Schizosaccharomyces pombe: one gene and its partners. The gene in region 1 interacts genetically with each later gene. Each region holds a gene or a part of one and is shown in the gene's direction. Other genes may lie near its edges.

Region 1 (6,708 bases):
ATTTTGCTGCATTTTTCAAAGACAAAGGGGTAAATTTTTTGCTAAGCATAATTGGAATTTGATATAAGGTAAGCAATCTAAAATGCAGTTCTAGCCAGTCGTTATGTTAATGAAAGACCTTTAAAGTAGTAGAATAAAAATTCAAATGAAGGAAAAAGTGAATTAGAATTTATTCGCTAACGATGTTGTTTTAATGAAAGCAAGCTTATATTTATATTATTTTTCAACGTCATAGTAAGTGCCTAGAATCCTTTACATTTACTGAAATTCAAATTGCTTTGCCGAAATATTAAACTAATCGTAATAAAACACCATTCGAATGTAAAATTTTTGATGTACGTTATCTACGTTGCCGCGTAAGAGAGTAGTCAAGAGCATGCTAGTGTGTGATTTATTATGTTAATCTAGAATGAAATGCTACAATATTACTAAATCTCGAATGCGATATATAGAATCTCAAATTCAACCATATGCCCCTCATTCATAAATTCATTCTCTATATTTAAAAAAAATTAGGTAAATTATATTAAAACGTTAAATTGAATGACTAGCTTGAAAGTTGAACTCGCTCATCCAAAACTATTATGACTTTTAAAGCAATATTATCATATTTTTCGACCATATAGGTATTATGTGATTGGTTGATTGAAAGGCTGGTTGCTGATTGGTTTCGTTACACGAATATTATAATTTGACGTCACATTACGAGAGATATGAGAAGGAAAGAGAATAACATGTTCCACTAGGGAAACAGAATAGCTATGAGTACCAGTGTATAACGATATTTTGAATTTGTTGAATTCATCATCACCGTTTATTTTGGTATCAGTGATGGATGATAATTCATGGCATTTACTAATATGGGACGACATATCGTACATTTTTACACAAGTAACGGACATGAGCGCAAGACTGAACACAAGAATTAATGCTAACACCTCATAAGAAAAGTTAACAAGGTTGAGGATTGCTCTATTTCTCTTACTTTTTTTTAATCAAGTACTAACTCTATAGTGTACGTGTCAGTGGCTATTAACTCCCAATTCATTTAGATGTCATCCGGAATTAAAAAACGGATAACAAATTTCGGATAATGACTAAATATTGTTCCAATGTGGCACCTCAACTTTTGTACCATCGCTCTCATCCCTTTGCTATATTTCCGATATCCGGTTGTTTTACAAAAATTAAACAAGGGATTACTCGTCAACAACATACTCAACATCAGGTTATGATGAAGTTGTCGTTTGCTTAGCGAATTTTTGCTTGAGGTATACAATTTACTCAGTCCCTTCATTGGCTTTATCAACATGCCATAAATTAGTTTAAAAAATAATTTATCGTCATTACAATATCGGTATATTAGAATATAATTATATACTTTTACTATGAAATAATATTCTGTCTTATTCTCTTAAACAAAATTGCTTTGAAAATAAAAAAAATGATTGGCTGTTTAAAAATACTTCAACCGTAATATTGTATTATTGTAAACGAATATGTAGTGGTATAGCAATCGAATCTGGGGCCTTTCTATTGGTTAAGTAATTGAATAATTTTAACGGCCGATCCGTGAATCTTTATACCATAACAATTTTTTAGCTAAAGACACGGAATCGAAACATCGCTAGGTGATGAGTTAGTAAAGAATAAATATGGCTGCAATATTAAGCATGGAGAAGGACAACAACTCCATATTTCTTTGATTTGCTAGTTAAAATCTAAATTGCTATTGGTAAAGTACACAAAAATACAGTTATTGCTGGGCAAATTTTAACGTTATCATGAAATAAAAAATCAGTTCTAGAAAATAGTTACGACTTTCTTCGAAGCTGCAAACTTAAATTCCAAGAATACTTTGAATAGTCTCTGTAAGGTCTGAAGCGAATTCCAAAATGCTATCATTTGCTTTTCTGAGTACAATTATCGCATATATATTAAAAATTTAAGGTGTAGTGCATCCAAAAAAAAAAGAACGATTCCAACAGATATATTAAAGAATCTTAATTTATTGATACTTACATTCCGATTGTGCAAACTAAAGGTTAGACTAATATTCTTCTCAAAAAATTATACAACAATAAAAAGTGAAACCGATAAATTGAAAGCGACGCTTTGCATTTTAATTTAAAAATCCAAGCACTTCAGAAAAATGTTTGCCAATGCAGCAGAAGAAAAAGCATCAAAATTGAAGTATAACGAGGTTTTACAACGTTTAGAATCTCGTTAATCACAAACGTTTGATATATCGAGAATTCTTCTTGCTTCATTACGATATTTATTAAGTTAGCGATGCATTTTGGTATCTGTTTTAACGATAGTACTGCAGTGAGTTTTCCTTGTGATCTATTATATTGCAATAAGAAGATAATATAAGTACCATAAGTATAGGTATTCTGTTAAGTAGGTTATATAGTTACCTGTCACTAATACTGCTTATAACTAAATCTCGCTCCTCAGTTCATGTAGCTCTATTTAATAATCTTTCTAAAATATTTTAACAATGGGAATCCATGTGTATAAAGATAGTTATATATAATTATTGATAAACATATCTTAACTGATAATCCAACATATGGCATATAGTGATACTGTAACGTAGCGCATATTACGTAGTGTAGTTATGCTAATATATTATAAGGAATAGTGAGTCATAGCGTATATACTTATTTGAAATGTACTAAATTTCAACGCGTACATGCTTTCCTTCCCTTCATTATAACTACATCAAAAGTTTTAGTAGCTTTCCTCTAAAGCACTTAACTGAATGGTAACACGAGAATCGGTCGAAAGTTTATTTTATTTTTTATAGGTCACTCTCTATAAAACCTTGTATCTCCACTTTACCGCTACGTTCATTATATTTGACATACACTCTTTCAGGACACTTGGTGATTATTGCTTTGGGTAAATAGGGTATATTTTTTGGTGTTAGTAAACGATAAGATTAAAAAGGTACTTTAAATTGTCTCGCCTGCTATTGTGAGCATGTGTGTGCTGTGAAGTGCCTACGAACATCTACCTCTCACATTCTGAACTTATCTAACATCTTAGTTTAGGCTAAGTATTTTATAAGAAATCTTAGCTTTTATTGCATCAATTTTTAAAGAAGGATATTTACACCGCTCTTTCTTTTCTTCGCTATCATTTTTATTATCATTGGTATTTTTTCATTACTTTGAACATATTTATTTATCCAAGGATTGGTCAATTCTAATTTCTCTTACATACTTACAATGCGTTGGTATTCTTATGTTATACCAGCAGTGATCCTCAGCATAATTGCTATTTCTGGAGTATGGTGGAATGCTACCCTTGGTACTAGGCTCGACCAGAAAGTACAACTTTTCTTAAATGAACATTCTTCAATTTTGAATGCAGTTTACGAAACAACTACTATCGTTTACACAGAGCCATTACACACCAGTGTCAGCGAAACGATTACATCTACGTCTTTTGTTACAGAAACTACGACAGTAACCCCAACGGTTACTGCCACAGCTCAAGAGTTAAGCACACTTAATCCTCATCCTGAAAATTCTAAGATAGTCCTTTTGATGGGTTCCAATGCCCAAAATGACCCTTCCTCACCCTTAAATCCTTATATTAGAACGATTATTAAAAATCGCCGCGACTATGCAGAACGTCATGGTTTTAAGTTTGAATTTTTAGATTTAGATGAGTACAAACCTTCAATTGGCGACAAGCCTGCCCCTTGGGCTAAAATTCCCATGATTAAAAATGTGATTAGAAAATATCCAGATGCTGAATGGGTATGGTGGTTGGATCACGATGCTTTAATTATGAATCGTGATTTGAATCTGGTTGATCACATTTTGAAGCATGAAAAGCTAAATTCTCTTTTATTGCGCGACACCGAATATTTTAGTGGATTTGGCATTGACTCTGAAGGATTCCGAACACCTAAAAATCAAGACCCTGATGATATACATTTTATCATTGCTCAAGATTTTAATGGCATTAATGCTGGCAGTTTTTTAATAAGGAATTCTGAAGTAGGAACATGGATGCTGGATTTTTGGAATGAACCACTTTATAAAGAACATAATGGTGTATTTGTCGAACAACAAGCCCTTTCTCATATGATATATAGTCATCCCATTGTGCATAAACATGTTGGGCTAGTTACTCTTCGTTCAATAAACGCATATGATTCTTCTGATCCTGCTTGGGGATATGAAGACGGTGATTTATGTGTTCATTTTGCTGGGTGCTTTGTCTTTCAGACATGTGCACAAAATTTTGAAAAGTATGGCAAGATTATCACAGAAAAGCAAGGCCATGATTGGTTCGATCCATCCGAAAAGGAATATATTGAACAACGCCTTTTCCCTCAACCTTAATCAATACCTTGTTATTCTTGCTATAGTGCTTTATATTTATTCTATTATTAATCTATGCAATGATCAGTGCTATATAACTCTAATTGTAAATATAATATTTACTCTATTCATCTGTACGATCGGTTGGTGTTATTATATTACTGGTTATTATTTATTTAAATTAATGCATACAATTGACCTAGCATGATCATGGTTCCCAGCTTTCACTATGACTTAACCTTGCATTTACGATACAGTCGGATAATTCAGTCTTAATCTTCTTGCGACGCTTATGTTCACTAAATTAATAAGCACTCCTAATTGATTAATTAAAGAGTTTGATTCATTTTATATCCAAAAGGATGTTCAATAAGCAATTACTGGCTAATCGAGGACAATTTCATCAGTCGTGAAATTTCAAAATTCATTTTTGAATCTTTGTCCAAGATCAACTTGTTTTGAATGTAGATTAGCAGAACTTTGATTGCGGTAATTGAATCAAGTAGGACAGCTATCGGTTTCATTGATTAAACGTTATGAGACAAATAGAGCTGCCGGAGCCAGAAAGAGCGATGCTCTATAAATAACTTTCAATCGTTCAAGCATTGTTTAACTTGAAGGTCTCAGCAGTCCAAAATTTATGATAAACAGAATATGAATGCCTTGTAGAATATTGTAATAAGGGTTTAAACATATTATCTAGAATCCATTTTGTTATATTAGTTTAGCATTTCAAGTTATATCAAACCCCCCATTTTGTTTTTTGTCATTTGAAACACCTTTTAATAAACGACGAGTATACTTATAAGCAATTGCTATCAAGAATAATTTAGAGAATATATTCGACCAAAGGTCCGATGGATTATAAAATAATTATTTTTGCAGGACACAGTATTTGCTATACAAATAAAAATTTATATTGGATTAAGATCCTTTTACTTTACCAAATGATGCATTGCCTTGCAGCTAATTTCTTAAGCTTGTGAGTAATGCACGGGTAAAAGCATAGTTGATTCAGCATCTAAACGTGAGTTTACGGCTTCACACATTGCCAGATAACTATCATTCAAAATATCGGGAGGTACAGAAAGATAAGGATAGTCAGAACCATTTTTTAAACCTGGAGGAAGCAAAGGTGCTGAAGCAGTATGATTCCAGGATTTTGCATAATACGGGTTGATGGGAGAAAACGGCGTAAAGGGATTGTTAGGTACATCCTTCATGGAGGGATATACAGGAGCAGCAAGGGCCGGCCAATACGTAGATTGCTTGGAAGGTAAAAGAGCCATCGAAGGGGGCCTTGCCCAAGAAAGCTGAATCCTAACACCATGCAAAGGGAAATTGTTCATTTCGTTAATTGCCTGCTCAGCAAAATATCGTTGAGCAAAGACTATGCGTCCACTATTATTATTGACTTGAGTGTATAAAATCTCACCAAAGTGGAGGAAATATGATCGTAGCTCTTGTGTCGTTATATTTTCGGGGAGTTGGTGAACATAAACTGCTGTATTGTTTGGATCAGTAAATTGATTTAGTGGTTGAGGTGTACCATAAAACCCAGGCGAACTTAAGTAAGTATTTTTATCGGATTTGACGGAATGAACTAATATAGATCTTTTTAAACAAAAGGCACCCTGCATCTCTACCTGCGCGTTTTGTATATCACTTTCATTAGCTAACCATATGAAAGCAATGCTAGTTGAAGTCCCGTCAACACAACGTAGAACACGAGCAGAAATAAAGTTATAACGTTGAAACAAGTATTTTATATCATTTTCAGACACTTCTGGATCAATGTTACTAATGAAAAGCATATAGTAACTAGGTTTTTGCCATTCAGGAACCACATCTAAAGAGATCGGGTTCCCAGATATTAATCGTTGAGTAGATTGCCTTTCTAAAGCATTCCTAGCAGCATCTTGACTCTCAAATTCAATGCAGCAAGTTTTTAAAATAGCTCCCGACTCGCCATCTTCATAATAGTTTACTTTTCTAACATTTTCAAAAATTGCTCGAATATAGTCCTCATTCATCCATTCTTCTAAGTTATTTAACCTGTTTAATTAGAAATAAGATTAGATGATGTATCATTACCATAAAGATGTACTCATAACGCATATAATTTGATAATTAATCGAAATCTAAGAAACTTGTAGTTATAGGAATTATAACAGGCTTGACAACTAAGATCGTCAAATAATAAGTTCTACAGAAAATTTTAATAGTATTTAATGTTTATTGAAAAATTATTCATGAAATAAAAATTAATTCAATTCCCCAAGAAATATTGTTCGATCTGAGGAACATGAAAGAATGATGTCCTGATGTGGATGAAAGTCAACGTGATTTACTGAACCCTCATGTC
Region 2 (6,143 bases), 1.3 Mb from region 1:
AGGGAGAAACCCTTGAAATTTCAAGATATCACAGTCAAATCATTGGACAAATAGCTTCGCAAGTTTATAAACCTTTGATAGATTATTATACTTCTTCACCACAAACGGCTACGCTTAGACGTTTAGCAGAGCGGTTATCAACAGTTGCAGAGGAGATGGCATCGTCTTCTGTACCTGGTCTGAAGGGATTAAAAAAAAAAGGCCGTGATGCGGATACTAAGAGTCAGAATGATCTCACTGCTTCTCGTGCAACCTGGGATTCCGATGCTCCTTTAGCGTTTGAAAAATTGCAAATTGTTGACGAGGAACGCCTCCTTATATTGAAACAAGTTTACCTGACAATTGCAAGTTTGGAAACTGATACGGCTCTTAAACAGCAAGAATTTTTTTCTAAATCTATGGCAGTTTATTCTGATCTACCTATTGAAGGTGAAATCCGTCAATTCATGAACTCCACATCGAAAGTTATGTCTTCCGCATCTGCTAATAAACCATCTAAGTCATCGGGCTTTCACATAAACAATGGAAAATCTAAAGAGGAAAAGAGTCATGGAGAAAATGAATCTGGTGGTAAATTGAAGAACAAAATGTCCACGTTGTTTCGTCGGAAAACCATAATGCCTAAAAAGGATAAGAAGCCTTCGCATAAATCTAATGGTCGCCCTAATAAATTAACTGCTTTTTTTAATAAGAACTCCAAAGCTTCGAGTATTTCGTCTGCTGAAGAACACCCATCGAATATAGATGATAGTTCAATCGAACGAAGACATTATGATTCCAATCATTCTTCACAAATTCGGGATCATCCCTCTACTAATAATAACGCTTCGTCTTATCAAAACTTTAATGAAACTTCCGACGAGGGCGAGGACAACGATGCCACTATTCGTGCAAACAATGTTCGCTCATCCTTTTTGGAGGCTCCGCTACCTGTGCAGCCTAATGTTCAAGCAGAAACGGTTACGCCTAAGATTTCCTCCAAGGCTTCCCCCTTTAATAAACCCAATTCTGTGCACTCTGAAGCCTCAAGAAATACCCCTTCATCGATCGATAGAGAGAATGCATCACATTCGAATCCTATCATGATGCATGGCAATGATTTTGGTGGGAACTTTAACAACATGCAATCACGATCAACAACAACGTCTCCCACATCAGCGGTGGCTTCCCCTGCGCCTACTGAAAACGAGGATAGCAATGCTGCAATTGAAAGGGTAGCAAATACTTTACGAAAGAATCCCACTATATCAAGAAGGACCCGTCGTGCTGGGACAATGGATCGTTATGCTACAGCATCGTCTGACTATATGGAATCAAACCTCGGTAGCTTGCCCAATTTGTCTACTTTATCATTACAATCGGGACCAGACTCGACTGCAACATGGCACCCTGAGTTCCCAAATTCTTCCGGGCTTTCTGCTTCAATCGTCGAAAAGTATTCTGGTGAATTATCTGAAGATGGCCTTCTTCATCCTTCCTGTTCCGGTCATATATTCATGAAATATACCTCGGATTTTAATACCCCTCCTCCTGAAATGGGTGTTCGCGTTGCGTCTGAATTTCCTATGTCTTTTACTCATTTAAATGACCATGCAGTAAAATATGGACCCTCAGAAAACACACTTTCTTTAATACCAGAGCTACTTCTCTCACCAATCAAAGTCACTGATTTTAATCTACATCTTGATAGTATTAACGGTGCTAGTTGCATTCCATTGACAGTTGTTCAGAAATGGAAGCATGATGAAAGCAGTAGTAGTATGATTGCATTTGTGAAGCCTAATCCTGTGTGGAGGAACTTAGGCTCATCTCTTCATATTGAAAAACTTGTTATCATCGTTTACTTGGGGGAAAATGTCCTTGTAAAAAGCTGTCAAAGTTCTCCGGCCGGAGAATTTAGCAGGAAAACTAGTAAACTTAAGCTACATCTTTCGAACATTAATATATCTTCGTCTGGATTTAAAATTTTAGCCAAGTTTGCGATTAGTCCTAGTGCTGCTATTAGAAAGCCAGTTATCGAGTTCCGTATTCGCATGGTTGATTCCTCTAATAACCCTGGTCTCACCAAATTGTTTTTGAAACCAGATATGTTTGATACTACTTCTTCTAGTGGAGGTTCTCAGCTAGAAAGTGCTTATGAAGAAACGAAGGTTCCTACTTCCTATGGTATTCATGTTCGTGAGTGCTCTGTTTTTGCTGATATGAGTTAAATTACTGTTCATTATTAGTCAAGAAAAAGCAAACTGCTTTTTTGGGTTTTATGTTTACACTTTTTTGCTAACCGAATTTTTTGAACATTGTATATATATATAAATGATTTTTAACCAGAGAATGTACAAATGTAAATAGTTATAGAATTTTGAATAAAGAGTTTCTCATTATTGTACGTACAAATGAGACATTGTTAAGGAGATTTTTTAGATTATTCAACGCAACTGAAAATACACTTTCTTAAATGGTAAACCTTAGAAGTTAGGCGAAAAATAGTGTCTTCAATTTAACGAATTCTATGAGACTGTAAACTAGTACAGTAAAATTATTATTGATTGGGGAACAATACCAGATCTACCTACCTGAGAGTAGCCAACAACGTGAAAATTTTAAAAAATGGCTTTGGGGACTAAGCACGTACTCCATCTCACAAAACCGTCTTCCAGGTCAAGTCCTTTGAACATTGTCATTGAACCAGCAGTGCTTTTTTCTATCCTTGACCATTCAACCCGGAAAAGTGAAAATAATCAACGTGTTATCGGTACACTTTTGGGAACACGTTCTGAAGATGGCCGAGAAATTGAGATTAAAAGTTGTTTTGCAGTTCCTCATAATGAGAGCAGTGAGCAGGTAGAAGTTGAAATGGAATATCATCGTGCGATGTACCATTTACACCTCAAGGCTAACCCTCGTGAAGTTGTCGTTGGTTGGTATGCTACTTCTCCTGATTTAGATGCTTTCAGTGCACTGATTCAAAATTTATATGCTTCTCCTGCTGAACCCGGAACTGCTCCACTAGGAACGTATCCTCATCCCTGTGTTCACCTTACTGTCAACACAGATGTTAGCAGTCCCCTTGCCATCAAGACTTACGTTTCTTCACCAGTAGGTATTACAGAGCGCCTTGCTGACAGCTGTGCATTCGTCCCTACCCCTTTTACCATTCGTGATGACGAGGCAGTCCGTTCTGGTTTGAAAGCTGTAGCTGCTCCTAAGAATGACCCATCTAGACTTGCTAGCCTATTCACAGATCTCCAGCAACTTCGAAGATCAACCTTGGAGCTTTTATCTATGATTGAAAGAGTTTCCGATTATGTGCAAAACGTAATTGATGGTTCTTCGCCTGCTAATGTTGCTGTCGGTAGATATTTGATGAAGTGCTTTAGTTTAATTCCTTGCGTAGAAGGCCAAGATTTTGAAAAAATTTTTTCATCACATCTTCAAGATGTTTTGGTTGTAGTTTATCTCGCAAATACCTTACGTACTCAAGTGGATATTGCTTCCCGTCTTAATTTGCTTCCCTAAGCAATTGTTATAACCTAAAAAATCCGGACAATTTCTAACAGTTGTTCGATAGCCCTTTTTTCAAGTCACCGTTATTTTATCCTTTTTTCACACTGGCTGTTAACCCTCAGTGGAAGCAACTGTCTTTATCTCGTCATTCACCCATTTCGACATAGTTTGAGTAGCTTAGCTTGTCGGTAACTATTTAGTATTATACTATAATTGGTTTAGGTTAAACGTCTTATTAAATAAGAGAAAATTTTAAGTCAGAGTCATGTATCTTAACATTTCTTATAGTTAAAATAGTAAGCTTGTTTAATTTTTAAACATTTGATGTTTTTACGTTATAAAGTCGATTTAATTATGTTATTTGTTTTTCAGGGTGTTGAGTTTGTTTTGGTATTGAAAGTAAGCAAAATGTGTATGATGCACCAACAAACATTAAGGGAGTATGTAGAGTAATTCTCTCCGAAAGCACCACCATTTTATAATTTGGCAATCAATTGCCATTAAAATGCGTTTATATTTTAGTGCTTTTCGCCATCCCAAACGACTAGGACTGTGTTTACTGATTACCTTGAGCATTATTTTATTAGGTTGGCAATGTGTTTTGCTATACAATCATAGTCCAGAAATACAAAGGTCAGTTTACACACTGACAGGGTTGGCGCCCTCTTCTAAGATGGCATTTGTAACTATGCTTACTGTACGCGCCGCTAATGGGGAAAACGAAGTAGAAAATACGCAACAGGATTGGTATTATAATTCAACTAGGCTTCTCGTTCACCGACTTGTCAAATTTAAACCTACGAAAAGCAAGTATCCCGTTGTAGTGCTAGCCATGAAGGGAATTGATCAGTGGAAGCTTGATCAATTGCAGGAAGACGGAGCTATTGTTAAAGTAGTCGATCCACTATATGCTCATGAAGTGGTTGACGATGTCAATGACATTGCCCTACTGGATTCCCGATGGAGTATGATGTTTACCAAGTTGAGAGTTTTCGAAATGTACGAATATGATAGAATATGTTTTCTTGATAGTGATATTTTGCCTATTAAAAAAATGGACAAAGTTTTTGATGTTCACCAACTCTCCTATAGTAAGGATTCTGTTCTGTTTCCTCCCACCCTATTCTACAAGCCTAGGCGCAGCATTTTTTGGAGACGCTTTACAGAAGAGTTTGCAGCTTACGGGCTGACAAGAGACGATCTTTATCCCTACGTTTTCGCTGCTGTGTCCGATCCAGGTATGTGGCATGAAACTCCTCCTCCTTTTAAAGATTATTTTAATGCTGGTCTATTCGTCTTTAAGCCATTGAAGGCACATTATAAAAGGTTAATGGCATTAGCAAGGTTTCCAAAATTGTATGATAATGCAAACATGATGGAGCAAAGTTTGCTAAATTTTGCATACAATTCAGCAGGTGCTTTTCCATGGGAGTCACTTGATTGGACTTTTAACGGACTTTGGGCTAGAAAAAATGACTTACCATATCTAAAAGCAGTTCATGGAAAACATTGGCAACCAGAAGGAAGTCTAGGTTATGATGAAGACACATCCAAGCTATGGTGGGATGCGTTTCAAGAAATGCAAACGTATCATGACCAACAACGTAATGCTGATTTATATTAAACAGATGAAAGCAATTTTCATGTCGTGATCAAGTAAAAAATAAGGCGGCTTTTGACTTTTAAGAAGCAGTTATTTTCATTTAATGTATTGCTGACAACACGTACTGTTGAAAGGCTATCTCATTTTTACAGTCATTCTAAAATAATTTGTGTTTCCTCCGTCCTTTTTTAAAACCACTATACTATTCAAATTCATATACACGATCGATGGGATTCTGGATACAGGTAAACCATAATCAAAAAAATAGCTTCCTCTCTGTATGCAAATTAGATCACGTATGTTTAAAACTCACTGAAAGTTCAATGGTTTCAAGAAATTTTGCTCCTTCTTAAAAAATTCCTAATTAGTGTAAAGAATCAAGTGTTAGTCCTATCATCAATTTTAAAATTGTAAGCAAACATGTTATAAATGCTTTTTCTTTGACCAAAGGAAAACCAACGGATTTATATAAAAATTGCTAATTAGTGAGCATACGTATCCTTAGCATGTTTTTCATTTTTAGATTTCAATAAGACATTTGAAAATGTTTTAGGTAGCAAATCTATTTAAAAGTTGTTTTAAATATATATATCAAAGAAGGCTTGGTTTTAGATAGAGTGAAGATGGGATAGAAAATATCAATAGCAAGTAATTGATAAATTTTTTAAACCTTTTAATGTCAAATAACAAGTACTGTAAACTCAAATAATCTTAAAATTTTACATGAAAAACTATACTTCGTACGCATTACATCGTACCTTTAGTCTCCTAAATTGTAGTCAGCCACTACCAAACTCAATAATACAAACTACATTATATTTATTGTATTAAACCTAGCAAGTCTTAACGAGATATAGTCAGTTATAATCCTAGGGTTTTTATTATTCTGGTGGGGATTTTATAGCTATAAACGAAGTTGCGGAAAGCGATAAAATTTGCTTTATAGAATATGAATTTCTTTAAGCGGTTACGCTTACATACCAGGCTTCTACTTCGCTCAAAATTTGTCTTGATTTCACTAATTCTTTTGCTGAAT
Region 3 (5,850 bases), 3.3 Mb from region 1:
CTATTCATCCAGATTTACCGCATAAAGATCAAAAAGCTGCCATTCTTGAGAATGATTGCCAATTTCAGTTGAGCAATTTAGTATTTTTTTTGCCAAAGTCCCCAGATAAGGAAATTTTTCAAAAGATTCTTCAATGTTTAGCAGTTGTAACTGCCTCTTCTCTTGAACTTCGAAAATTGACAGCGCATTTGTTGACGGGTGATCTAGCTTCTTATGTCCCTTCTTTACGAGGCCAGATTAAGTCCTTGGAAGTTTTACTTATGTACATCGACTCTAGAGCTGACCTTTTGTTAAAATCAAATCCGCAAGTATCTCCGACCTCTGAAAGGCAGGTTTGGGCCAAAATTTATCGCGATAGTCAGATTAATATTCTTCAAGACTCCATCACTTATGTCAAAAATTATATGGAAGAATCACTCCAAAAAACTTACAAACCTCTTCCAAACCTTTTGCAATATCTCATCCTTAATTCGATATCTATTTTCCTCTTGCAACATCCTTTGTTTGCACCACTTTCGCATGCCATTGAGAGTCTCTATGGTTCAACCGATGCTGAAGCATTGGTCGCTACAGATGAGCAGGATATTTTAATGATATTGATTTGTGTATATTGTTTATCTATTTCTGAAAAATTACCTTTCTCAATTAGTATGCTTGTGGAAGGGTATCCAGCCGTTGCTAATCCAGAAGGTGTTGAAGTCTTTGAAATCTTGGATGAAATGTTTTTTCAACAATTTACAAACGTATTTGGGGAATCCAAGCATTTTAATAAAGAAAATGTTTCTTGGGCATTGCAATTGGTAAATGACGAAAGTCTCGACTTTTCTGGATTTACCTTTATTATTGCCCATAATTGATAAATAAAAATTAAGCGATTAATATATAATGTACGATGAGTATTCCAATATTGGGTTAGGTAAAGTAGATGACAAGACGTATTTTGATAAATGATTAAGGTGTTTAGTGTCTTTTATATACATAGGATGATTGTAGTGCATAGAAAATTAGGGTAAAGTTAGGTTGATCCAGTTTGCACAAGTTTGTATGGCCAATCATCAATTTTAGCAGCCACTATCCATTCACGAAGGGCTTCATGTAGCTTCTTATGGAATTTTTGACTAGATTTGTAAGTGCCTGCTTATATAAATATTGAAAAAAATTGCTTACCTGCTCTTTCGAAACCGTAACCCCATGATTCTTTCTAATCCACTTAGCTGGAGTTCCAAACGTTTTCTTTGACGTTTCTCTAAAGGTAAGCCTTCGAGTAATTCATTAATAAGATGGATGTGAGCTGCAACATAGCTGGTGGCTTCGGTTTCTATACCACCAATAAACCCCAATGGAGCCTCGTACACTTGATTATATTGTTTCTCCAAATCAATGACATTAGAATCGTGGTTCCACACCCAGAAGACATTACGGCTAACATCTTCAAGTTCGATAATCCAACGGCGAAAAGGTCGATCAACTCGAACGTTTTTTAAGAATTCAACCTCTTCATCCTTATCGTCTTTAATAGAAAACAAGGAAAAAACTTGCATTGCACCTTCTTCTTTGTCGAGATGAGCTTTGTAAAAGGAGTGAACTATTTGAACGAGTACTTCCCTTACGACAAAATCACATGGCTGTTTCTTTGAAAGCAAAAGGGAAATCAATCGCTCGACATTATAAGTGGATTGAGATAAACATTCCAATCCGCGCTAGGAAAAACGTTAGCAATTGTCAAAGGCAATGAAGACATAGGTCTAAATGTATATCACATGCATACCTGAACAGTGCACATGGCTTTAACGCAAAGTAAAAGTTGCTCCAGTATAGAATCGTGCAGTTCCTCTCTCCATTCAAGGCGAGAGATTTTGTCGATTGTACAAAATACTACACCGAAACCGCCGTTGTGTATAAACTTCTCTACCCATCTGTATTGCAGTTAGTATGAAAAACCTCAAAATAAACGAATGATTTATCATTCAATCAAAACAATAGTAGTGCCAAAAAAAAAGATAATTTAAGCATCACCACTTTGATTCACGTAGCTGCACAAAATGTAAACATACATTACTTGCTCGTTTCTGAGAAGTAGAGCTAATTTGTGTATGATAGATTCATCGATTGAGTCAATTTTTGTATTTACAATATACGAAATAAAGTCGTCAGGTTGCTCGTAACATGGTTTTTTACGCATCCAAGCAATTAATTTATTTCGCTTTTTCTGGTCTTTTTGCTGTAAACTGGACACGATTTCCATTTTAATTCCTTCATTAAGGGAAAGTAAACTCTTTGAGGCCTCTGAAGAAAGAACTTGAGGCTTGATTAAATCTTCAAAACATTGTGGCATTTCATCTTCAGAAGGGGTTGAAGGAGTCTGAAAGCTCAAGCTATCCTCTCGATCAGAAGAATTAACGCTTTCAGAGAGCCCATCAGAGCTCAAAGAGCGAGCACCTAAAAGCCGTTTTACTGAACGTAGAGAATTCATAATGTGTGTAAGGAATAGTCGTGTGGTATATTTACATAGAAATGGGAGGGCTGGTATATATTAAAATGGCACGCTGACGCGTCCGAGGAACAAGCCACAGGAACATGAAACGGACAATATCGGGAATTAATTCAATAATTAGGCTAATACGCGGAACGGTTGTTCCAATTTTTAATATGTACAATACTAAGCTATGGCCCTAGACTTAGGGAAGGAAAATAGCACATGAATGTTCGAAAAAAAAAAAGAGAAAGCTTCCGTTATTTAATAAACCATACTATTTACGCCTATCATTATTTTCATTAATAGCTATACATAGTAAATCCAACTTGCAAAATTTTGAGATTACGCGTGTTGAGTTAATGTTTGATATTGGTATATACACTATCGTATGTAAGTCAAATGAGAAGAATGGAAAAATAAGAATGTATTGAGCTTTAAGATATAGTAAATCTCGGTCTATTTTGGGTAAGAATTTTAATATGTACTTCTCAATTATCTGGAATTCACTGAAGGTTGTGAAAAGGAAAAATATTTCGGACATCCAAAATTTGCTATTATAATGAAGGTGCAACTAACTGAGTAGTAGAACCGATATCTAAAATAAATTGATTATTTGGAAATGTATGGTTAAACAAGAAGGCTCATATTACCTGAACTAACATAATGTCGTTAAAAATTACAGTTCAAAGCAGTGCTGAAATTATACTAGAATTCTGGTACATTAAAACGCGTCGCTTATAATAGAATCACTTCTTTCTATCAATAGATTAAACATACAATTTTGCTATTTCACGTAGGGATGTAGTAAAGTGAGAGAAGTAGGTGGGACATACATTTCCTACTCAGCACAACGTAACGTGCTTAGTGTCAATATCATGGGGACGAGTGGAATTGAAATATTTGCAGCTTTAAATGATTTCACAGATGGTAAGAGGCGAAAATAAACACATTGATTAACATTTTACAGCCATTGTTTCAGTCCCTGAATCAGTATGTGGAAAATTCACGAGTTTGAAAGAGATCGATGCACAAGTACGAGGTAAGTGAAATATATATTTTTAAAACGTGTGGTTAACAAAATCTTAGATATCCGTCAAAATGTCATACAGGAAATTGGTGTGGTTCTAAAAAACGAGAAAAATGACGAATTGTCAGGAGAAGAAAGATGTGAGCGATTACAAAAGACACTAAAAGAGATACTTCCATATTCTGATTCAAAGATTTGTTTGGCCACAGACGCAATGAATAATATCAAGAGTTGTATCGACCGTTTGGATGCTGGGTTTGAATATGTTGAATTGGAGATTCCCCAACAATTGAGATTGGGATATCCAGACGATCGAGCTTTAATGAATTATCATTCTACTGTGACTCCTCAAACTTCTGAAAGGAGACGGGAAACCCGTCGGCATCAAAATAACCAGCATTCCCAGCAATATTCCTCTCAGGAACGGTCGTCTTCATATAACAACTTTGAAGACGCTTCATCGCCGCAATCTTCTTATCACACCCCTACAAAGCGTCGAAAAAATGCTGTTCCTAGAAAATCATCATCACCTCCATTATCGAGTACAAAGCATGCGCCGCAATCTACGGAGAGGCGACCAGTGCGGAGATCAGAATCTCGTTTAAAACAGACAAATGGGGAACCACTTGTCAAACACGACACATTAGATTCAAGTGATATCAGCCGTGAAGGTGAGCAACTTTACTGTTACTGTCAACAAGTTTCCTATGGACAAATGATTGGATGTGATAACGAAAATTGTAAAAGAGAATGGTTCCATTTACCTTGCGTTGGTCTAGTAGAACCACCGAAGGGGATCTGGTATTGTAAAGAATGTGAAGAGTTAGCAAAATCATCTGAAAGTCGTCAATGAGCCGGGATCCTTTTTATTTTCTTTCACCTTCTTTTTATTGTTAATTTCTCAGTGTTTGACATCGTTATGAAACATCCATTACCACTGCTTGCATTGCTCTTGTTTACTGAATCAATTAAACTAACGACAACATTTCTATACCTCATAAAACCCTTATAACGATTTTTATGGTTTCGTTAAAGGATACAACCATCAGCTACGTATCTCGGTATACTATTTAATGATATGTAAAACTACGGTGTGTTTTGTTTGCAATCTACAAAAAGCGGATGCAATATGTATGAGTAAGTAATATTATAATTATTTTTATTAGAAATTTGTTAGTAACTAGTCATTGAAGTAAGGAAGCAATTTTAGGCGCAAACTTTATTAAATTTTTTCTTTGAATTTGTTTTGTTAGCTTACATACTTGTTAATAAATGGAAATTCCTTCATGCATGTTTCAAAAGCGAATTTAAATAGTATTCAAAGTAATGACAAATAGTGATACACAACATAGTGTATCATAGCTTAGTGCATTATTACTGACACACATCTATAGCAAATATATCTCTCTCGTTATTTTTTTAAGGATACCTCCTTGCATTACGTCTAAATGCTTTTACTAATGGATTTTCCAACTTATCGTTTCCCTCCTTCTCATCTAAAGTAATTCTTAAAATTGGGATTTTCTTGAATTTTAAATACTGTTTTTATTTGTGTTACAAAAAAGTTAATTAACAGTTTCTTGTCCAAATCTCGTTGAATTTTTGATCATCTGATAATGAAGTACCAATTTAACGTTGCTATGGCTTGTGATGGCTGCAAAAATGCCATCGATCGCGTTTTAACTCGTCTGGGTGCGTTTTAAAAAAAGTCATTTTTTAAGTATTTAGATTTACATTTATATAAGTATTTGTTATATATGGTTTTTCAGGAATTTTGTTGATGAATCTGTGTACTAATTAAGTAATGTCGAGTAGGTGTTGAAGACAAATCCATTTCGGTCGAAAAACAAGAGGTTATCGTTACCACAGACAAACCATATGAGCTCGTAGAACAAACGATTAAAAAAACTGGAAAGGAAGTTCGCAGCGGTAAAGTCCTAGAGTAGAGCATGGCAAAAATTACGACTTTAATCATATCTGATCGGTTCTCTCAAAAATATGCTCTTGACTTTTTTGTTGTCGCCTTATTGTTAAGATTTATATATACGACTAGACGAGGCTATTTGTTTTGTAGGATACAGCGTACTGCTTGAGCCTTTGGTGTTATTTTCCTCCAATAAATTGTGATAAACTTATAGACGTTTTCCGGTTCATTTCAATTGTCTTGGTAAGTTGAACCCCGCTTTACATGCCGTTTGTAATATTTATTGTGATCATTGTTTATTATCAGACTGCACTTTCAGTCATTTTGTTGCTATTTTTTGACTTAGGAGTTTTCACTTATTTTTTTTATTTTATTTTATACATTACATAGGCACCTCCAATTCAGGCAATAACTGTTTTCTCG
Region 4 (6,122 bases), 1.3 Mb from region 1:
TTTTCGCCATCCCAAACGACTAGGACTGTGTTTACTGATTACCTTGAGCATTATTTTATTAGGTTGGCAATGTGTTTTGCTATACAATCATAGTCCAGAAATACAAAGGTCAGTTTACACACTGACAGGGTTGGCGCCCTCTTCTAAGATGGCATTTGTAACTATGCTTACTGTACGCGCCGCTAATGGGGAAAACGAAGTAGAAAATACGCAACAGGATTGGTATTATAATTCAACTAGGCTTCTCGTTCACCGACTTGTCAAATTTAAACCTACGAAAAGCAAGTATCCCGTTGTAGTGCTAGCCATGAAGGGAATTGATCAGTGGAAGCTTGATCAATTGCAGGAAGACGGAGCTATTGTTAAAGTAGTCGATCCACTATATGCTCATGAAGTGGTTGACGATGTCAATGACATTGCCCTACTGGATTCCCGATGGAGTATGATGTTTACCAAGTTGAGAGTTTTCGAAATGTACGAATATGATAGAATATGTTTTCTTGATAGTGATATTTTGCCTATTAAAAAAATGGACAAAGTTTTTGATGTTCACCAACTCTCCTATAGTAAGGATTCTGTTCTGTTTCCTCCCACCCTATTCTACAAGCCTAGGCGCAGCATTTTTTGGAGACGCTTTACAGAAGAGTTTGCAGCTTACGGGCTGACAAGAGACGATCTTTATCCCTACGTTTTCGCTGCTGTGTCCGATCCAGGTATGTGGCATGAAACTCCTCCTCCTTTTAAAGATTATTTTAATGCTGGTCTATTCGTCTTTAAGCCATTGAAGGCACATTATAAAAGGTTAATGGCATTAGCAAGGTTTCCAAAATTGTATGATAATGCAAACATGATGGAGCAAAGTTTGCTAAATTTTGCATACAATTCAGCAGGTGCTTTTCCATGGGAGTCACTTGATTGGACTTTTAACGGACTTTGGGCTAGAAAAAATGACTTACCATATCTAAAAGCAGTTCATGGAAAACATTGGCAACCAGAAGGAAGTCTAGGTTATGATGAAGACACATCCAAGCTATGGTGGGATGCGTTTCAAGAAATGCAAACGTATCATGACCAACAACGTAATGCTGATTTATATTAAACAGATGAAAGCAATTTTCATGTCGTGATCAAGTAAAAAATAAGGCGGCTTTTGACTTTTAAGAAGCAGTTATTTTCATTTAATGTATTGCTGACAACACGTACTGTTGAAAGGCTATCTCATTTTTACAGTCATTCTAAAATAATTTGTGTTTCCTCCGTCCTTTTTTAAAACCACTATACTATTCAAATTCATATACACGATCGATGGGATTCTGGATACAGGTAAACCATAATCAAAAAAATAGCTTCCTCTCTGTATGCAAATTAGATCACGTATGTTTAAAACTCACTGAAAGTTCAATGGTTTCAAGAAATTTTGCTCCTTCTTAAAAAATTCCTAATTAGTGTAAAGAATCAAGTGTTAGTCCTATCATCAATTTTAAAATTGTAAGCAAACATGTTATAAATGCTTTTTCTTTGACCAAAGGAAAACCAACGGATTTATATAAAAATTGCTAATTAGTGAGCATACGTATCCTTAGCATGTTTTTCATTTTTAGATTTCAATAAGACATTTGAAAATGTTTTAGGTAGCAAATCTATTTAAAAGTTGTTTTAAATATATATATCAAAGAAGGCTTGGTTTTAGATAGAGTGAAGATGGGATAGAAAATATCAATAGCAAGTAATTGATAAATTTTTTAAACCTTTTAATGTCAAATAACAAGTACTGTAAACTCAAATAATCTTAAAATTTTACATGAAAAACTATACTTCGTACGCATTACATCGTACCTTTAGTCTCCTAAATTGTAGTCAGCCACTACCAAACTCAATAATACAAACTACATTATATTTATTGTATTAAACCTAGCAAGTCTTAACGAGATATAGTCAGTTATAATCCTAGGGTTTTTATTATTCTGGTGGGGATTTTATAGCTATAAACGAAGTTGCGGAAAGCGATAAAATTTGCTTTATAGAATATGAATTTCTTTAAGCGGTTACGCTTACATACCAGGCTTCTACTTCGCTCAAAATTTGTCTTGATTTCACTAATTCTTTTGCTGAATTTGGGTTTACTTTTAGGGATCCAAATATATCGGGATCCCGCATTTCCTGGATCGCTAATTTCATCGGCAGCCTATGAATTTGGGCTTCATAAGCATGGCCCATATTATAACGATAATGTAGATGATTTAAAAAGGTATACATTTATGGGCTTACTTACCCTTCCTACTTCAGAACATGATGTATACTTCAATGCTACTCGAGTACTAGTATACAAGCTGAAACATCATCCTGAAACGAAAAGTAAATATCCCGTTCATGTCCTTGTTATGAAAGGGGTTGATGAATGGAAAATTGAACGATTGCGACTTGATGGGGCCGAAATAATTATGGTCGATCAAATTAAAACTGAAGACTTAATTGAAAGTGGTTTGTCTATTGGCATGGGCAGTTATCGTTATCAATACATGTTCACAAAACTCAGTGTATTTGAGCAAACACAGTTTGATAAGGTCTGCATTCTGGATAGCGATCTCCTAGTATTGAAAAACATGGATGACATTTTTGATACTCCCTATGTTTATGAATCTCCTGCAGAACCCGATATGTTTAGCTTTCCTATCTTTAAGAAGCCAGATGATGAAGAGGATTATCAGTTTAGCGACAATTTCGATGCCTATGGTGCTCCTCGCTCAGAATTCTATCCATATCTTCTTGGCGCATGTGACGATCGTAACCCTGGACATGCGACGCCCCCAGAAGAATCTGAAACTTTTAATGCCGGGCTGATGCTTGTTCATCCCAGTAGTCTTCATATGCATAGGATTAAGAAGATAGCACGTTATCCTTATATGTATGACGATGCTAGAATGATGGAACAAAGTTTATTAAATCTTGCTTATAATAAATATGGTTGGTTTCCCTGGACGAGGCTCGATTTTTCATATAATGGAGTTTGGGTCACCGAAGAGGACTTACCCTATCTTCGTGCTGCTCATGGTAAATTTTGGGAATATGACAACACGGAGTTTCCCCAAATTTTGACTGCCGAGTGGCATAAAGCGTTCGGAGAGTTGCTGGCTTTTCATGACTATGTTGTAGAATAAAAAATGAAGGGGGGCGTTTATCTTTAATGTTTTCATGCTTCATTATTTTTTTGTCCCACTTCCATTCCTTGACCTGTAACTACGGTGTACCTGTTGAAGAGCTTAATACATATCTCACCGTGTATATTCTTACCGTTAAAGTTTGTTCTTTTCACATAATTTCTGCATTCAATTTTAAACAAAAAAAGACACATCATATTTTATTCTTCTTTAGAAGGGTCTACCGGTGTTCGGACTAATTTTATATTTTACATGGCTGATTACAATTTTCTTGTATGAAGCTGATAATCAAAATTTTAAATGTGCTTGCAGGCATCTTACAACATTTTTACTCTTATGACAATTACATAGGACTCATAACAATAATATTCTTTCACTATCAACAATATAACTACACTTCGGTAGTTAACTGTAACTATAAAAAATCTTTCTATTTTAATCATCACAAAGACTTATCTCACTGACCAGAAAAGTAACTTTTCTTCATGACCTTGCACTCCAAAAGCTACAAATAATGAGACAGGCATTAATAAGGTCAAGTCTAGCATAAGCATTGGGTATCAGTATAGTCACGTAAAATAAAAGGAAACGTGAAGTACTTAGTGAGTAAATACGGGAATAGGGTTAGCAGTATCAATGGCAAAAAATTTACGCTCCATTCCATCTTTATTTAAAATGACCATTCGAATGGTACCACCACTGCTGCCATCGCGTTCCATGGCTAAAGCAACAGCGTTCTTTAAAAATTCAACAGCCTCCTCTTGGGTCATATTTTCGCGAAAGTTAGCATCGCAAAATCCATAAATAAAAGCAGAACCACTTCCTCCAATAGCTAAAGGTTGCTTATGCAAACTACCACCTAACGGAATACTGTAAACATCTCCCCCAGTTTTTTCATCATATCCAGCAACAATTAAACCTGCACTAAGCATATTTTTGTTTTGATAACACATTTCAGAAGCTAAAGTAGCAGCTGTATGAACACTAGGGTCATGGCCAAATTGAATACTTCATAATCGTTAGATAATTTTTTTAACAACAATAAAATGAAAAATAAAACATGCAAAAAGGCTTTAGTAATCATCTAGTAAACATAAGGACTTGAGAGTAAGTCGATAGTTTATTCTAAAGGATAAACCAGCTAAAGCAGCCTTAATTTACAGTCATTCGGTTCATTCAAGGGTAACTTACCGATACATGGAAAGATAGTATTTTAGAAGATCAGCCACAGTTTGCGTATCAGCAGCAGAACCACTGCGACAGCACCAAATATTGTCTGTCAGCTGAGTCAGCTTATCAGTGACACGATTTGCAATATATGCACCTAGCAACGTTAGAAATCAAAGAACGAAAAGTTCTGATATTCCAATACACACCCATAGTTGTTCGAGAATCTGCAGCAAGTATAACGCCATCTTTATAACGGAGCGCCGTGATGGTGGTACCCATACGAATTTCTCTACAAAGTCAGAACTTTCAAAATCAATTTCCCGCAATCATACCCCTTTTTAATAGCATTAATGTCAACATTCATAGTATCTTTCACAGTAGTGGCCATTTTCAGAAGTTTGGTGAAAGGTTAAAATGATTAGGGACTTGTGTATGGTATTGAGAAGCAGCCAAAATTTAGGTAACATTGCTACCTGCATATGAAATTGCAGTATGAATATAAAAAATTGTTATTCAATTGTAAAAAGTGTTGAAAGAATTCGTATATTTTTTAAGAAATTCTTTAACGACTATAGATAAGGGTATAGTATTAAAAATTTTTGATCAAAAGTTACAGCCGACTACAGAGTTATAACCATGGATTGAACTTGAAAGTGCTCAGCTAGAAATTAACATAGGAAAGAATGAAAGAATCTAAAAGTTTGGGACTAAAAAGGTTTCTGAAGATTTTGTTTTCTTAATATTTGACGACTGCTTATATTTGGTTTACTTACGCAAATAACATGAAAAAAACCATAGCTATTGAAGAATGAAAATAATATGACCATGATCTTTTAACAAAAAATGAAGATATTGGAAGTTCGACCTGGAATGATGTATATATATTTACGAGAATTTCTTACGACGGATCTTCTAAACTGTGAATTAGGTATCATGTTATGTTTCATTTCTAGCGAAGCAGAATTCCAAGCAATATTGAGGTGATAGGGGATGTTCCAAATTCTGTTAATCGCCAAATTAATTTTGGAATTAAGGCAAGAAGCATTTCATTAACTACAGTGTATTTTGCTTATTTTAGTAAGGCAGTATCCCAAAGACAACTGGCTTTCTAAAAATCTCTTTTGTTTAGGTGTCTGTTATTTCAACAATATGTACATATATATATTTATTTATAAACTATTTCAAACATATTCAAGCAATTTATTGCTTTTTAGAGCGAATATCGCCATGGATAGCTTAGCGTGAGCTTAAAACATTGAATTAAAAAAATTTTCATTGCCGTTCCAAATTGTATCGCTTTCGCTAATGCTATAAACACCCAAAGCAATTTTTTTGTACTACCATCTTCAGGTCATATCGAAGTATCATTAATGCGATGTAAGACTTTGATGGGTATGATAAGGCTATCAAGCTGCTTAATGAGCATTTTTTCTTTGACAATTCGACCTTTAATTTATTGTTTACATGGCATATTCTACGTTTTAAATTTATGTAATAATGACGAGGATTGGAGAAATAGGGTACTCTACTTAGTGTTTACATCCTTCACAGAACACAACTCCAAGGCCAGCAACTCCACAATTAAATGCACGGTGTTTCAGTTGGAATCGAACAGCAAACGTAAAGTAACTCAAACACAACTTCATTTTTCATGAAAACCTCTTTTATAAATGATGGATCTGGAGCATAAACGCATTAGCCGAAGTACATTGCCGGATTATGCGGATCCCGATTACTTCGAGGCTAGAGGTGAAAGAAATCCGGTAAAACCTCAGTCTTCCAACGTAGTACCAG

What was found.
Region 2: mutations in gmh6 (region 1) and otg2 impair growth when combined (synthetic growth defect), as found in Schizosaccharomyces pombe (one study listed by BioGRID).
Region 3: of gmh6 (region 1) and png2, changing one enhances a phenotype caused by changing the other (phenotypic enhancement), as found in Schizosaccharomyces pombe (2 studies listed by BioGRID, with this or other methods).
Region 4: mutations in gmh6 (region 1) and otg3 impair growth when combined (synthetic growth defect), as found in Schizosaccharomyces pombe (one study listed by BioGRID).

The regions. Positions count from the first base shown.
Region 1 is NC_003423.3:4,405,717-4,412,424, reverse strand, and holds gmh6 (alpha-1,2-galactosyltransferase), read left to right. Parts: upstream 1-2,718; 5' UTR 2,719-3,236; coding exon 3,237-4,364; 3' UTR 4,365-5,140; downstream 5,141-6,708. Other genes in the region: SPOM_SPBC1289.14 (adducin), read right to left, coding at 1-49; U1 snRNP-associated protein Usp109, read right to left, coding at 5,318-6,398, 6,438-6,454; U5 snRNP complex subunit Spf38, read right to left, coding at 6,608-6,708.
Region 2 is NC_003423.3:3,120,271-3,126,413, reverse strand, and holds otg2 (alpha-1,3-galactosyltransferase Otg2), read left to right. Parts: upstream 1-3,965; 5' UTR 3,966-4,009; coding exon 4,010-5,128; 3' UTR 5,129-5,643; downstream 5,644-6,143. Other genes in the region: cytoskeletal protein Syp1, read left to right, coding at 1-2,210; tif306 (translation initiation factor eIF3f), read left to right, coding at 2,608-3,516; alpha-1,3-galactosyltransferase Otg3, read left to right, coding at 6,057-6,143.
Region 3 is NC_003423.3:1,119,451-1,125,300, reverse strand, and holds png2 (chromatin modification family protein Png2), read left to right. Parts: upstream 1-3,339; 5' UTR 3,340-3,351; coding exon 3,352-3,403; exon of another isoform or gene 3,404-3,443; coding exon 3,444-3,515; exon of another isoform or gene 3,516-3,562; coding exon 3,563-4,356; 3' UTR 4,357-4,640; intron 4,641-4,696; 3' UTR 4,697-4,719; downstream 4,720-5,850. Other genes in the region: ribosomal lysine methyltransferase Set10, read left to right, coding at 1-857; GTPase-binding protein Rid1, read right to left, coding at 1,016-1,118, 1,168-1,700, 1,769-1,916, 2,055-2,473; Cu chaperone Atx1, read left to right, coding at 5,120-5,195, 5,319-5,449.
Region 4 is NC_003423.3:3,116,263-3,122,384, reverse strand, and holds otg3 (alpha-1,3-galactosyltransferase Otg3), read left to right. Parts: upstream 1-1,859; 5' UTR 1,860-2,027; coding exon 2,028-3,158; 3' UTR 3,159-3,548; downstream 3,549-6,122. Other genes in the region: alpha-1,3-galactosyltransferase Otg2, read left to right, coding at 1-1,099; proteasome core particle subunit beta 1 Pre3, read right to left, coding at 3,758-4,166, 4,350-4,482, 4,535-4,617, 4,661-4,716; pdk1 (serine/threonine protein kinase Ppk21/Pdk1), read left to right, coding at 5,999-6,122.